3 linked regions of the Diceros bicornis minor genome follow. The main gene of each other region encodes a partner of the protein of the gene in region 3 in a complex. Links are inferred from orthologs where the notes say so. Each region holds a gene or a part of one and is shown on either strand. Other genes may lie near its edges. The genes, in order: ADRA2A, CHRM2 and GNAO1.

Evidence for each region.
Region 1: the proteins of GNAO1 (region 3) and ADRA2A are in contact, whole or in part, in a cryo-EM structure (PDB 7W6P), measured with the Homo sapiens proteins. The link is inferred for Diceros bicornis minor from reciprocal best matches to the Homo sapiens genes GNAO1 and ADRA2A. Residues at the interface, in NP_066268.1 of Homo sapiens: Ile28, Lys32, Lys193, Asn194, Leu195, Asp218, Phe336, Thr340, Asp341, Ile343, Ile344, Ala345, Asn347, Leu348, Gly350, Cys351, Gly352, Leu353, Tyr354; in NP_000672.3 of Homo sapiens: Arg77, Arg146, Ser149, Ile150, Ala153, Ile154, Asn157, Leu158, Arg160, Pro162, Ile234, Ala238, Arg241, Arg383, Arg386, Phe387, Val390, Leu391, Phe444, Asn445, His446.
Region 2: the proteins of GNAO1 (region 3) and CHRM2 are in contact, whole or in part, in a cryo-EM structure (PDB 7T8X), measured with the Homo sapiens proteins. The link is inferred for Diceros bicornis minor from reciprocal best matches to the Homo sapiens genes GNAO1 and CHRM2. Residues at the interface, in NP_066268.1 of Homo sapiens: Lys24, Ile28, Ala31, Lys32, Leu195, Tyr320, Asp337, Ala338, Thr340, Asp341, Ile343, Ala345, Asn347, Leu348, Gly350, Cys351, Gly352, Leu353, Tyr354; in NP_000730.1 of Homo sapiens: Asn58, Arg121, Cys124, Val125, Pro128, Leu129, Thr130, Pro132, Val133, Lys134, Thr136, Ile209, Ser213, Lys214, Ser215, Arg216, Ile217, Arg381, Lys384, Val385, Thr388, Ile389, Cys443.

Annotation. Positions count from the first base shown.
Region 1 is NC_080745.1:74,812,850-74,816,596, reverse strand, and holds the start of ADRA2A (alpha-2A adrenergic receptor), read right to left. Parts: upstream 2,874-3,747; 5' UTR 1,916-2,873; coding exon 533-1,915; 3' UTR 1-532. UniProt on the Homo sapiens protein: Alpha-2 adrenergic receptors mediate the catecholamine-induced inhibition of adenylate cyclase through the action of G proteins.
Region 2 is NC_080742.1:85,269,125-85,271,931, reverse strand, and holds CHRM2 (muscarinic acetylcholine receptor M2), read right to left. Parts: upstream 2,014-2,807; coding exon 613-2,013; downstream 1-612. UniProt on the Homo sapiens protein: The muscarinic acetylcholine receptor mediates various cellular responses, including inhibition of adenylate cyclase, breakdown of phosphoinositides and modulation of potassium channels through the action of G proteins.
Region 3 is NC_080771.1:9,768,812-9,772,558, forward strand, and holds the start of GNAO1 (guanine nucleotide-binding protein G(o) subunit alpha), read left to right. Parts: upstream 1-1,032; 5' UTR 1,033-1,676; coding exon 1,677-1,794; intron 1,795-2,011; coding exon 2,012-2,054; intron 2,055-3,747. UniProt on the Homo sapiens protein: Guanine nucleotide-binding proteins (G proteins) function as transducers downstream of G protein-coupled receptors (GPCRs) in numerous signaling cascades.

The sequences.
Region 1 (3,747 bases), on a different chromosome or scaffold from region 3:
TCAAAAGCAAAGCGACACTGGGGACCCTCCTGTGTGCACTATCAAAAATAGTGTATATTTACAGTGGGGGATGGGAGGGGGGGCAGGACGGCCCTGAGCGTTTGTTTAAAAATAGAGTTGGTGGGAGGGAGACAGCAATCAGCGGGGCCTGGGTAACCCCCGTCCATTAACCCTTTGTGAGCCGTACGCTCTGGGGTCCAGCGCTTGCTCTGAACTGCTGTCAGAGTTGGACTGGGACGTGAAAATATCTTTAGGAAACAACACTGATTAGGGGCGGCCCAAGAACCTAGAGAGATGGCTCCCAGTCAGAAGCAGCCCTAACAACAGTTGGGGGGCGTGTGGCCCTCCCAGCCAGTACTTTTCCCTGGTAGGGAAGAGCAGATGCCCGGAAGCCGCAGAGCAACCTCCCGGGCCAGGAAACGCAGAGTAGGCAGGACCCTGGTTTCAGAGTACTAGGCCTGCGTAGACGCGCCCCTGGATCCCAGCTGCCTGCGATCTGCACGAGTCTGTTCGCGCGGCGCGGGCTCCGCGCTCACACGATCCGCTTCCTGTCCCCGCGGCAGAGGATCTTCTTGAAGGCGCGGCGGAAGTCGTGGTTGAAGATGGTGTAGATGACCGGGTTCAGCGAGCTGTTGCAGTAGCCGAACCAGAAGAAGAACTTGAAGAGCGTGCGCGGCACGGAGCAGCCGACGGCCGTGAGCGTGTAGGTGAAGAAGAAGGGGAACCAGCACACCACGAACACGCCGATGACCACGGCCAGCACGAACGTGAAGCGCTTCTCGCGGTTCTGCCGCCCGCGCCAGCGCGACGCCTTGGCGCCCCCGCCGCGCTCCTCCCCGGGACCGGCCGCCGGCGCCCCCGGCCCGCGCCGCGGCAGGCTGTCCCCGGGCTTCACCTGGGTCACCCGGGCTTTGCCCTTGGCCCGGGGGCCGCGCTCGGACCTGCGAGGCCCGGGGGGCCGCTCGGCGTGCTCAGACGACGAGCTCTCCTCCAGGTCCAGCGCGTCGGTGTCGCGCGGCCCTGCCGGCGCGGGCTCCCCGGGGGCACCGTTAAGCTGGGCGGGCAGCGGCTCGACCTCGGCGCCCACGGGGCCCATGCCGCGCTCCGGACCCAGGCCGTTGGGCCTGCGCTCGGCGCCCCCCGGCGGCGCGGCGCCCGCATCCGGGCCCCGCCGGCTGGGCGGCACGCGGGTGCGGCGCTTGGCGATCTGGTAGATGCGCACGTAGACCAGGATCATGATGAGGCAGGGCGCGAAGAAGGAGCCGATGCACGACGAGATGACATACCACTTCTGGTCGTTGATCTTGCAGTGCGGCTCGGCCGGCTGCTGGCCGCTGCCGCCGCCCTTCTTCTCGATGGAGATGAGCGGCGGGAAGGAGATGACGGCCGAGATGACCCACACGGTGATGATGATGGCCTTGATGCGGCGTGGCGTGCGCTTCAGGTTGTACTCGATGGCCTGCGTGATGGACCAGTAGCGATCCAGGCTGATGGCGCACAGGTGCACGATGGACGATGTGCAGAAGAGCACATCGAGGGCCAGGTAGATCTCACACCACACCTTGCCAAAGTACCAGTAGCCCATGACCTCGTTGGCCAACGAGAAAGGGATGACGAGCGTGGCCACCAGGATGTCGGCCGAGGCCAGAGACACGAGGAAGAGGTTCTGGGGCGCCTTGAGCGCGCGGCTTGTGAACACGGCGATGATGACGAGCACGTTGCCGAACACGGTGAGCAGCATGAGCAGGCCGGCCAGGCATACCAGCGTCAGCGTCACCTGCAAGGAGTAGGGGGTGGCCCGGGCGCCGCCCCCCGGCGCCTCGGTCCCGTTCCAGCTCGCGTTGCCCGCGTCCGGCTGCAGGGAGCCCATGGGCGCGAAGCTGCCCTCGGCCAGCGGCTGCTCCTGGCGGAACATGAACGCGGGTGCCCGCTGGCCTGGGCCTGCTGCCAGCTGCCTTCCGGCCCAGCGCCGTGGGTCTTCCTCTTCCTCCCGCGCCCCGCTCGCCCCGCCAAGGCTCACATGGGGAGGGGGCCGCAGGAAGGTCGGGCCCGAGCTGGGGGACCGCTAGCGGCCCATGGGCCCGGCTCCAGCGAACCGCGCCCGACCCACGCTTCGGGCGCTCGGGGTGGGCGCCTTCTCGCTCCCAGCTCCTAAATACAGCCAAGTTTTATTTCTGAGCGACGGGAGAGAGTAGATCGAGCAGATGGGGAAAGAGATTTATTCTTCAAGAAGGGAGAACAAAAGTCATCGGTGGCCTGATGACTTGAAAGGATGACGGGATATTAAATATATATATCTCTCTCGACTCTCGAGCCTGAGCGAAAGCAAGAGGTCTTACCGTGTGCGGGGCCCGCCCCCACCCCGGGAGGCAGCCGAGGGGTGCTGATGCGGGCTTGGGGTCCTATGTCTGTCTCCTTACATCCCCGAAGCGATTACCGACTCTCTCGCTTCCCCCAGACGCGGCGGGGCCGGCGGAGCCCGGGCTGGGGCCGGGGTGCGGACTCTGCCACCTCTCAGAGCGCCGCGGGACTTCCAAAGTTGCGTGCCCTGCTGGGGCTGGGGCGCAGCGCGCGGAGCTCGGGGGCGGCGGCGGCGGCGGGGTGAGGGGGGTGGGGGCCGCATGAAGGCGCCCCCGTCCTCAGGAGGGCCGGGCCGGGTGGGCGATCGGCCCTCCAGGAGCCGCGGCCGAAGCAGGGAGTCTCCTGGGCGTCGGCCCGGCGAGCTGCGGGCACTGCGCGCGACCGGACAGCCGGGGTCCGAGGGCAGCGTGAGTTGGGGCAGGAGCGCAGGGCTAGGGGGAGAAGGTGCTGGGGGTGGCCGGGCGGCAGCGCGCCGGCTGCTGGGTGTCTGCACCGAAGCCAGAGCCGCTGCTGCTCCGCCGTGCTCACCGTGAACTGGTTTTATAGCCCCAGGATCAAGCCGGCGTTGCCGAGCAGCGGGCGTCAGCCCCCACGTGGGAAACAGACCCTCCCCCGCCCCTTGCGCCTCCCCTCCACCGGTCTAGCGCCCGCGCCCCGCGCCAGACCCAGGGGAGCGCTGCCCCCTTGGCGCGACGAGCCCTTTGGAGAGGCGGGTACCTTGAGCGAGAGGTTTAAAGAGCGTGCCCGGGGAATGGGGAGCGGTCCCTGCTGGGAATTGGCCGAGCAGCTCCGGGACGGGCCAGCAGAAAGCAGTGGGCACCCGAGAGTGCCCCCATCGAGCTGAGTCCTGGGAGGAAAGGGTGTCGGAAAGCCCTGGCCCGAATCAGGAGAAGCAGCCACCGGTACGGGTCGTATCCGGAACAGCCCCGCCCTGGGCCGGCCCGCCCTCGTCCGCAAGTGCTCCTCGCGGCCGGGGTGAAGTGGGTCGTGGTGAGAGAGGAAGGCACAGGTTTGGATGGAACCCCCTAGGGCGGAATGGGAACCGCCCCCGGGGGAGCGGGCCCGGCCAGATTTCAGAGACCCGCTTAGGGGAGAGGTGGCCTACGTATCGTCCCAGCCACAGAGCTGTCTGCGAGACGCGAGTGGCCCGGGGTCTGGACCGCGCCCCCTTAGACCGCGGTGGGGAGGGGTCCTGGAGGCGGAGGCCGCGCGCAGTGACAGAGCGAGGGCGCACTGACACCTGCTGGCCGCTCCTCGTCACGGCTGGGAAGCCCCGCCGGCGCCGGGTGCCTTCTCCCGCCCCTGTAGTCCTTTGCCTACAGCGCCTTCTCCTATCTCAGGACAAGTTTGGATCCAAGCTCAAGAAAAGAAAATCTAGATTTTTAA
Region 2 (2,807 bases), on a different chromosome or scaffold from region 3:
GGTTTTTTGTTTGTTTTCTTTCTTTCTATAGTGGGAAAAGGGGAAGGTAAAAAAATAAGCATTTATTATGTTGCATTTTTCCAAATAAAATCATAACAAAAGAATAATATATGCTTAACACTCTGGAGACCATTTCCACATCCTTTTTTGATTTTCTTCCTTCACTTCCTCAGTGTATGTCTATTTCTTTCTGTTTAAGTGTGCATGTTAACTTGTAATTGTGGCATTTCATCCTCATATGGACACACGGGAAATAAAAAAAATGAAAAAAATGGAGCGAGGTTATTAATCTTATTGTGCAGAGATAAAATTGTAGATTCAAAAGCCCTTCTTCAAGAGCGTACGAGAAAGCGTAGACCGTTCCTTAAATCCACAAGTCCAACACATCTCTTTCACGGCCTCATTGCTCCTAAACTGACAGGGTTTATAAGGTGCAAGTTTCTCAAACTGGAGCATAGGCACCGTAAGAGTGTCACTGTTGGGCTCCTTAATTGCACATTCCATAATAAGACTATAAAGTGCAATGGCAGAGATTTTAAAACTAGGAGCTCTTTTATCCCTTTTCTTCTTCCCAAGCTCCCCTTGATCACCTTCCATCTTTACAAGGATGTTTTACCTTGTAGCGCCTATGTTCTTGTAATGACACATGAGAAGGTGTTTAAAGGTCTTCTTGAAGGTGGCATTACAAAGTGCATAACACGCGGGGTTGATAGTGCTGTTGATGTAACAGAGCCAATAACCAATTGTCCACACTGTGTTGGGGATGCAAGGTGCACAGAAGGTGTTAATGAGCACCATGACATTGTATGGGGCCCAAGTGATGATGAAAGCCAACAGAATAGCCAAGATCGTCCTGGTCACTTTCTTTTCCCGGGAAGGAGGAGGCTTCCTTTTTGCAGGCTGCTTAGTCATTTTCACAATCTTTCGAGCTACGATGTTTTGTTTTTCATCTCCATTTTGACCTGAAGAACCAACTAGCTCCACGGTGGTATTAGTTGGGGTACATGAGTCACCTTTTTGGGTCTTGGTGACAATTTTGATGCATGTTTGCTTAGAGTTCTCATCTTTGGAATGGCCCAAGGAAGTGGAAACTGTGTTTTCATCCTGGGTTATTTCATCATCTCTCATATTAGAGGCGACAGCACTGACTGAGGTGGAATCATTGGAGCTCTCTTTCTCCTCCCCCTGGACACAGTTTTCAGTCACAGCATCTCTGGGGGCTTTGCCATTCTGGATTTTGTTGTGCTCCAGGGCATCATCACTGCCGGGCATGTTGTTGTTGTTTGGCTTCACTATCCTTCCTTGTATCAGACTTGGAGAAACTGGATGTTGGTTGGCCACAGGCTCCTTCTTGTCTTTCTTTATCCTGCTCTTGCTGGCTCGGGATATATGCCAGTATAACACAGTCATGATGATCACAGGCAAATAGAAGGCTGCAATGGCTGTACCAAAAGTGACAGCAGCGTTGGAAAAAAACTGAATGTAGCATTCCCCATCCTCCACAGTTCTCACCCCTACAATGAACTGCCAGAAGAGAATGGCCGGAGCCCAGAGGATGAAGGAGAGGACCCAGGCAGCTGCAATCATCATACCTGCCATTTTCGTGGTCCGCTTGACTGGGTAGGTGAGCGGTTTCGTGACACAGAAGTACCTGTCAAAGCTGATGATGAGCAGATTCATCACTGAGGCATTGCTGACCACATAGTCCAGGGCTAGCCAAAGGTCACACACCACAGGTCCCAAAGGCCAGTAGCCAATCACAGTGTAGAGGGTATACAAGTTCATGGAGAAAACACCAATGATGAGGTCAGCACAGGCCAAGCTGAACAAAAAGTAATTGTTGACGGTCTGGAGGTGGCGGTTGACTTTAATGGAGACCATGACCAGGATGTTCCCAATAATGGTCACCAAACTGAGGGATCCAGCCACAAGGACAATAAACACCACTTCAAATGTCTTATAAGGACTGGTCAGAGCCAGGCCATTGTTAGAGGAGTTTGTTGAGTTATTCATTTTGTGTTCTCTAATCGGGAGCCAAGAAGACAAATACACATTTAAACCTGCAAGGAAATAGAAGAAAATTAACAAATATAATAGAAACATTGCTTTAAAATGTATCAGATTTTTTCCTTTTGAACTACATTTTTTCTCCAAAATCTTCCTTCCTTCCCCTACATGTTTACTGTGCCTACCTGCCCCAGTTCTCCACATAAAAGGCAAAAGCTTCAAATGGAGGATTCAAAAGATCCTTTCAGGCCAGCAATATATTTGAAGTCTGATAACATTCTGAATGTGTCCATACCTAGACATGAATATATCTGTCTGTCTGTCTATCTATCTATCTATCTATCTATCTATCTATCTATCTGTCATCAATCAGTTAAACTGAGTATAATATTGGTGAATTGAACTAAATAAACCAAAATTATAAAGGAAATTTTCTGAGCATCAAGAGGTTCTGGTACAGACATAAAAATTAATAAACCAATGGGAAGATAAAATTATGAAAGAAAATATAAAACTTATTATATTGAATGTGTGACTTTTATAGTCAATAGCACCTTTCCACCTGGTAGCTCTAAGTGTTTTCCATAATGATACTGAAAATGATAATAATAAAGATAAGATAATAATACTTTATTAGCCAATACACTCCCCCCAATGACTATTATTTTTCTCTGATCTCTGTTTTATGCTTGTAGTAAGTGTCACATGGTTAGCACTTCCAATATTCCATATCCTGCAAAAGAAGTTACTTATTAAATACATATTGATGTGATTATGTAAATTTTATGAATGTTTTATTT
Region 3 (3,747 bases):
CGCAAAGATCTCAACGAAGCTAAACCGTCCAAAAGAGCAAAAGCGTTTCAACTCTGTATTGAGGGAGTAAGCATTTGCTAGAAGCTCACTCGCATGAAAACCTGTCCTCCCCTCCAAAAGCTTCCCATGGTGGGAACTGTCTCCTGCGCTGATACCTATGGCCGGGAATCCTGGAGCAGAGTTCGCGATGGCAAAGGGAGGCAGGCAGAGGCTCCCAGAGAACAGGCCCTGGCTTTGTCTCATCCTGCTGTGTTCCCCTGCTCACAGCCTCCTCTCTCACATACTAGGTGCTCAATAAATGTGGGACGCAGGAAGCGAAAAATCCGAATCTGCCCCCATGCCCCAGAGGCGAATTATCGGGAACGCAGGTTTACTCTGACCCACTGTCTCCTCGCGTTTGCTGAGGACGCTCGGCCTCGGCTCTACGGCCCCAGCAGCAGGAGCACAATCAAGAAGGCGAGCTGCTGGAGCCAAGATGGAGAGGGAGCCGGAGAGCGAGAAAAGTGGCGCGGGGCGCGAGCCGGGGGACCCGCCTGACCGCCGCGCGGGCGGCGCGGCCCCGCGCTCCCATTGACAAGGAGGCCGGCGCAGCGGGCGCGCGGGGCGGGGGCGGGGGCGGGGGCGGGGAGGGGCGTCCCGGCGCGCGCCCGGCCCCAGGCCCCGCCCCCACCAGGCCCCGCGCGCGCCCACTCGGGGGAGCTGCGGGCCCGGGGAGCGCTGGAGGAGGGGAGGCCGCGCCGAGCGCGCGCCGCCGCCGGCTGACGCGGCCCGGGCGCGCGCGCCCCCTGCGCCCCCCGCCCCTCCCCGTCCCGGGGGCCCGGCGCGCGGCCCTGCTGACGTCAGCGGGCGGCTCGCGGTGCGGGGTGCGCAGAGCCGCTGGCGCACTCGCCCCCTCCCCCGCCCGGGCTGTGGCGCGCGCGCTCTCCCTTCATTTTCTTCTCCCCTCCCTCCCAGCCTCTCTCTCTCTCCCCCTCGAGCTCCCGGCTGCCCGCGGCTCCCTCGCGCCCTCCCTCTCTCTCCGGTAGGCTCCACTGAGCGATGCGAGCTCTGGGAGACAGCGACGCCGCCTCCCGCTAGAGACCTGCCCCCGGCCCGGCCCCCTGCCCAGCCCTGCCCAGCGCGCGGGGGTCGGCGAAGGCGCCGCGGACGCACCGACGGCTCAGGACCGGCGATGCACATGCACTAGCAGCACCCCCTCACTCGCTCCCTCCACACCCCGCGCCGCCGCCGCCGCCGCCTCCTCCTCCGGCAGCAGCGGCAGAAGGACCCACCCTGCCCCCCACCCCACCCTCCGCCGGCTCGGGCTGCGGCTCCTGCCTCGACTAGTATTTTATTTAGTTTGGGTCGTGCACAAGCCTCAGTGCCTGCAGCCCGCGCCTCCACGGACCGCGGGCGCCTCCTCCCTGGGCTCCGGATCCCCAGACCCCGGCCACCCTCGCCTCGACACCCCCAGAGCCGCGCCAGCTGCCGCGACTCTCCGCTGCTGGAATCTTGTTAGCGGCTGTCTTTTTGGGGGGTTCTGGTTTCCCGACATTTTTGTTTTCTGCCGAGGGGAGGATATCGTGATTTTTTTCCCCTTTGAGCCCAGGCTCTGCTCTCTGGGGGGGTGGGGGGCGCGCCGAGCCGGGGAGCAGTGCCAGCCGAGTCGTGCGGGCTGTGGCAGGGAAGGGGCCACCATGGGATGTACTCTGAGCGCAGAGGAGAGAGCCGCCCTCGAGCGGAGCAAGGCGATTGAGAAAAACCTCAAAGAGGATGGCATCAGCGCCGCCAAAGACGTGAAATTACTCCTGCTGGGTAAGGACCGGGGCTGCCACCCCTATCCCCAGACCCCGGCCCCTCCGCACCCCCTCCGCCAGCTCCCCCACCCCACTCGGGCCCGGGAAGACCTGGTCCCGAGTTGGCACCACCATGTGCCCAGGATCGCCCACCCCCTCGCATGCCTTATCCCCCTGCCCACCCCGTTCCCCTAAGCTGACACTCACCAGTTTTTCCCCCCTGTCTGTCCCAACAGGGGCTGGAGAATCAGGAAAAAGCACCATTGTGAAGCAGATGAAGTAAGTCCCTGTGCCATTGGGATTTGTACTTTTATTAAGAATAATTTTTTATCATTTGTGTTACCTTGCTCACTCTACATTGCTCTCCGGGCCCAGTTTTTAATTCGTGCACACACGCACACACACACACACGCACACACACACACACACAGACCTGGGTTTGACTCCCCTCCCCCACGCCCAACGTTGGTTCTGAGTCCTCCACCCCAACTCCCCGGGTGGGTGTTTTTTGGGGGGGGGAGGGAAGGGGAGCGCCTGTAGTTGTATGAATGACAGTGTCCGCCATATTGATCAGAACATCACACTATTGGCATGATTATGATCATTACTCTTGCTCGTGGGGTGTTTCGTGTGTATTGATGCCTGCATTTCTGTCTCTGTGTCTCTGTTTCATTCTGTCTCTATTTCTCTCTCCTCCTCCCTCCACCCCCCACCCCACATCCATAATCTCACTTCGCCCTGCTCTCCTCCTGGGGCAGTGATTTTGAACTTGGCTAAAACACGGAGGGGACCCAGCCCTAGACTGGGGTGGATGATCAAGTGTCTGCTGTTCATGGATTTGGTGCTGAATTGGAGACTGTGGTTTCTGCCCCCTCTCCCCCCAAAAAGAGGACGAGGGTTAGGGGAGGGGGCGTGTGGTAGGGAAGGGGGTGGGGGTTTCCCAGCTTATGTGACTGGCACAGCTGTATCCAAGGCAGAGGTGGAAGGGGGACACTGGCTGTGAGGCTGAATGCCCGCCCCTTGCTGGCCGCCCTTCCTCCCCCACCCTTCCCAGCGTTCGCTCTCCTGACACTGGCAGTTTTCTTTCACTCTGTGGCCTTTATCAATGTATTTATTTACACTCTGCATAGGCCGTGTTCCATGTAATCTACCCCCAATGCGGATTTCAGGCCCCGCTTGCCGCCGCCCCCTTCTGCCTTAGATATCAGTTTCCCCTCCTAATTAACTGGGGGTGGATTTGAGTGATGGTTGAAAATTAAAACAAAATGGGATATTTCTTCCCTTCCACACTTTCTCGATAAGGAGCCTCGCCCCTCCTTCCCACTCTCGGGCTCGCTTCTGGCCCCATGCACTCCGCTCGGCAGTTCCTGGTGAGCCCTCAGGCAGCTTTGCTGGGGGAGGGGGTGGCCGGCGGGGAAGGGGTGCGCGCCCGCAGGGCCTCCTGGCCCTGCTGCTTCCGTTGGCCTGTCGGTTCGGGACGGAGGAGTTCGTTAAGACCGTTTAGCGAGGATTCCACGTCGCTTTGCTGTGACACCTTCGTGCACACACAGCTCCTAATTAGAGGTTGCTGTGCAGTAAACAAAAATGATTATTTTTCAACTTGACAGCATAGGCGAAGTAATTGCATCCCGTAGGAAAACAATGGAAAATAAAAACCCCTTTCGTGGAAAGGTGGGTGGGAGACGAAGCATGCTTTTGCTTTCAGAACAAGATGCAAAAAATCTTGCATGTGTAACAGGCATGACAAGCGGGTTCTAGGCGGCGCCATGATGGTAGGGAGTAGCGACTCGGAGACAATTTCCCCCGTCTGCTTGACGTGCTCTTATTTTTGTTCGAGAGCTCCCCGGGGCTTTCTTTGCAGAGGCCCCCTCGGCTCGCCGCACCCCTCTGAGCCACGGGTAATTTGGCCTGGGGCTTCTCTGGAGCTTGTGCAACCCAAATGGACGGGGAGGCGGGGCCTGGGGAATTGCTC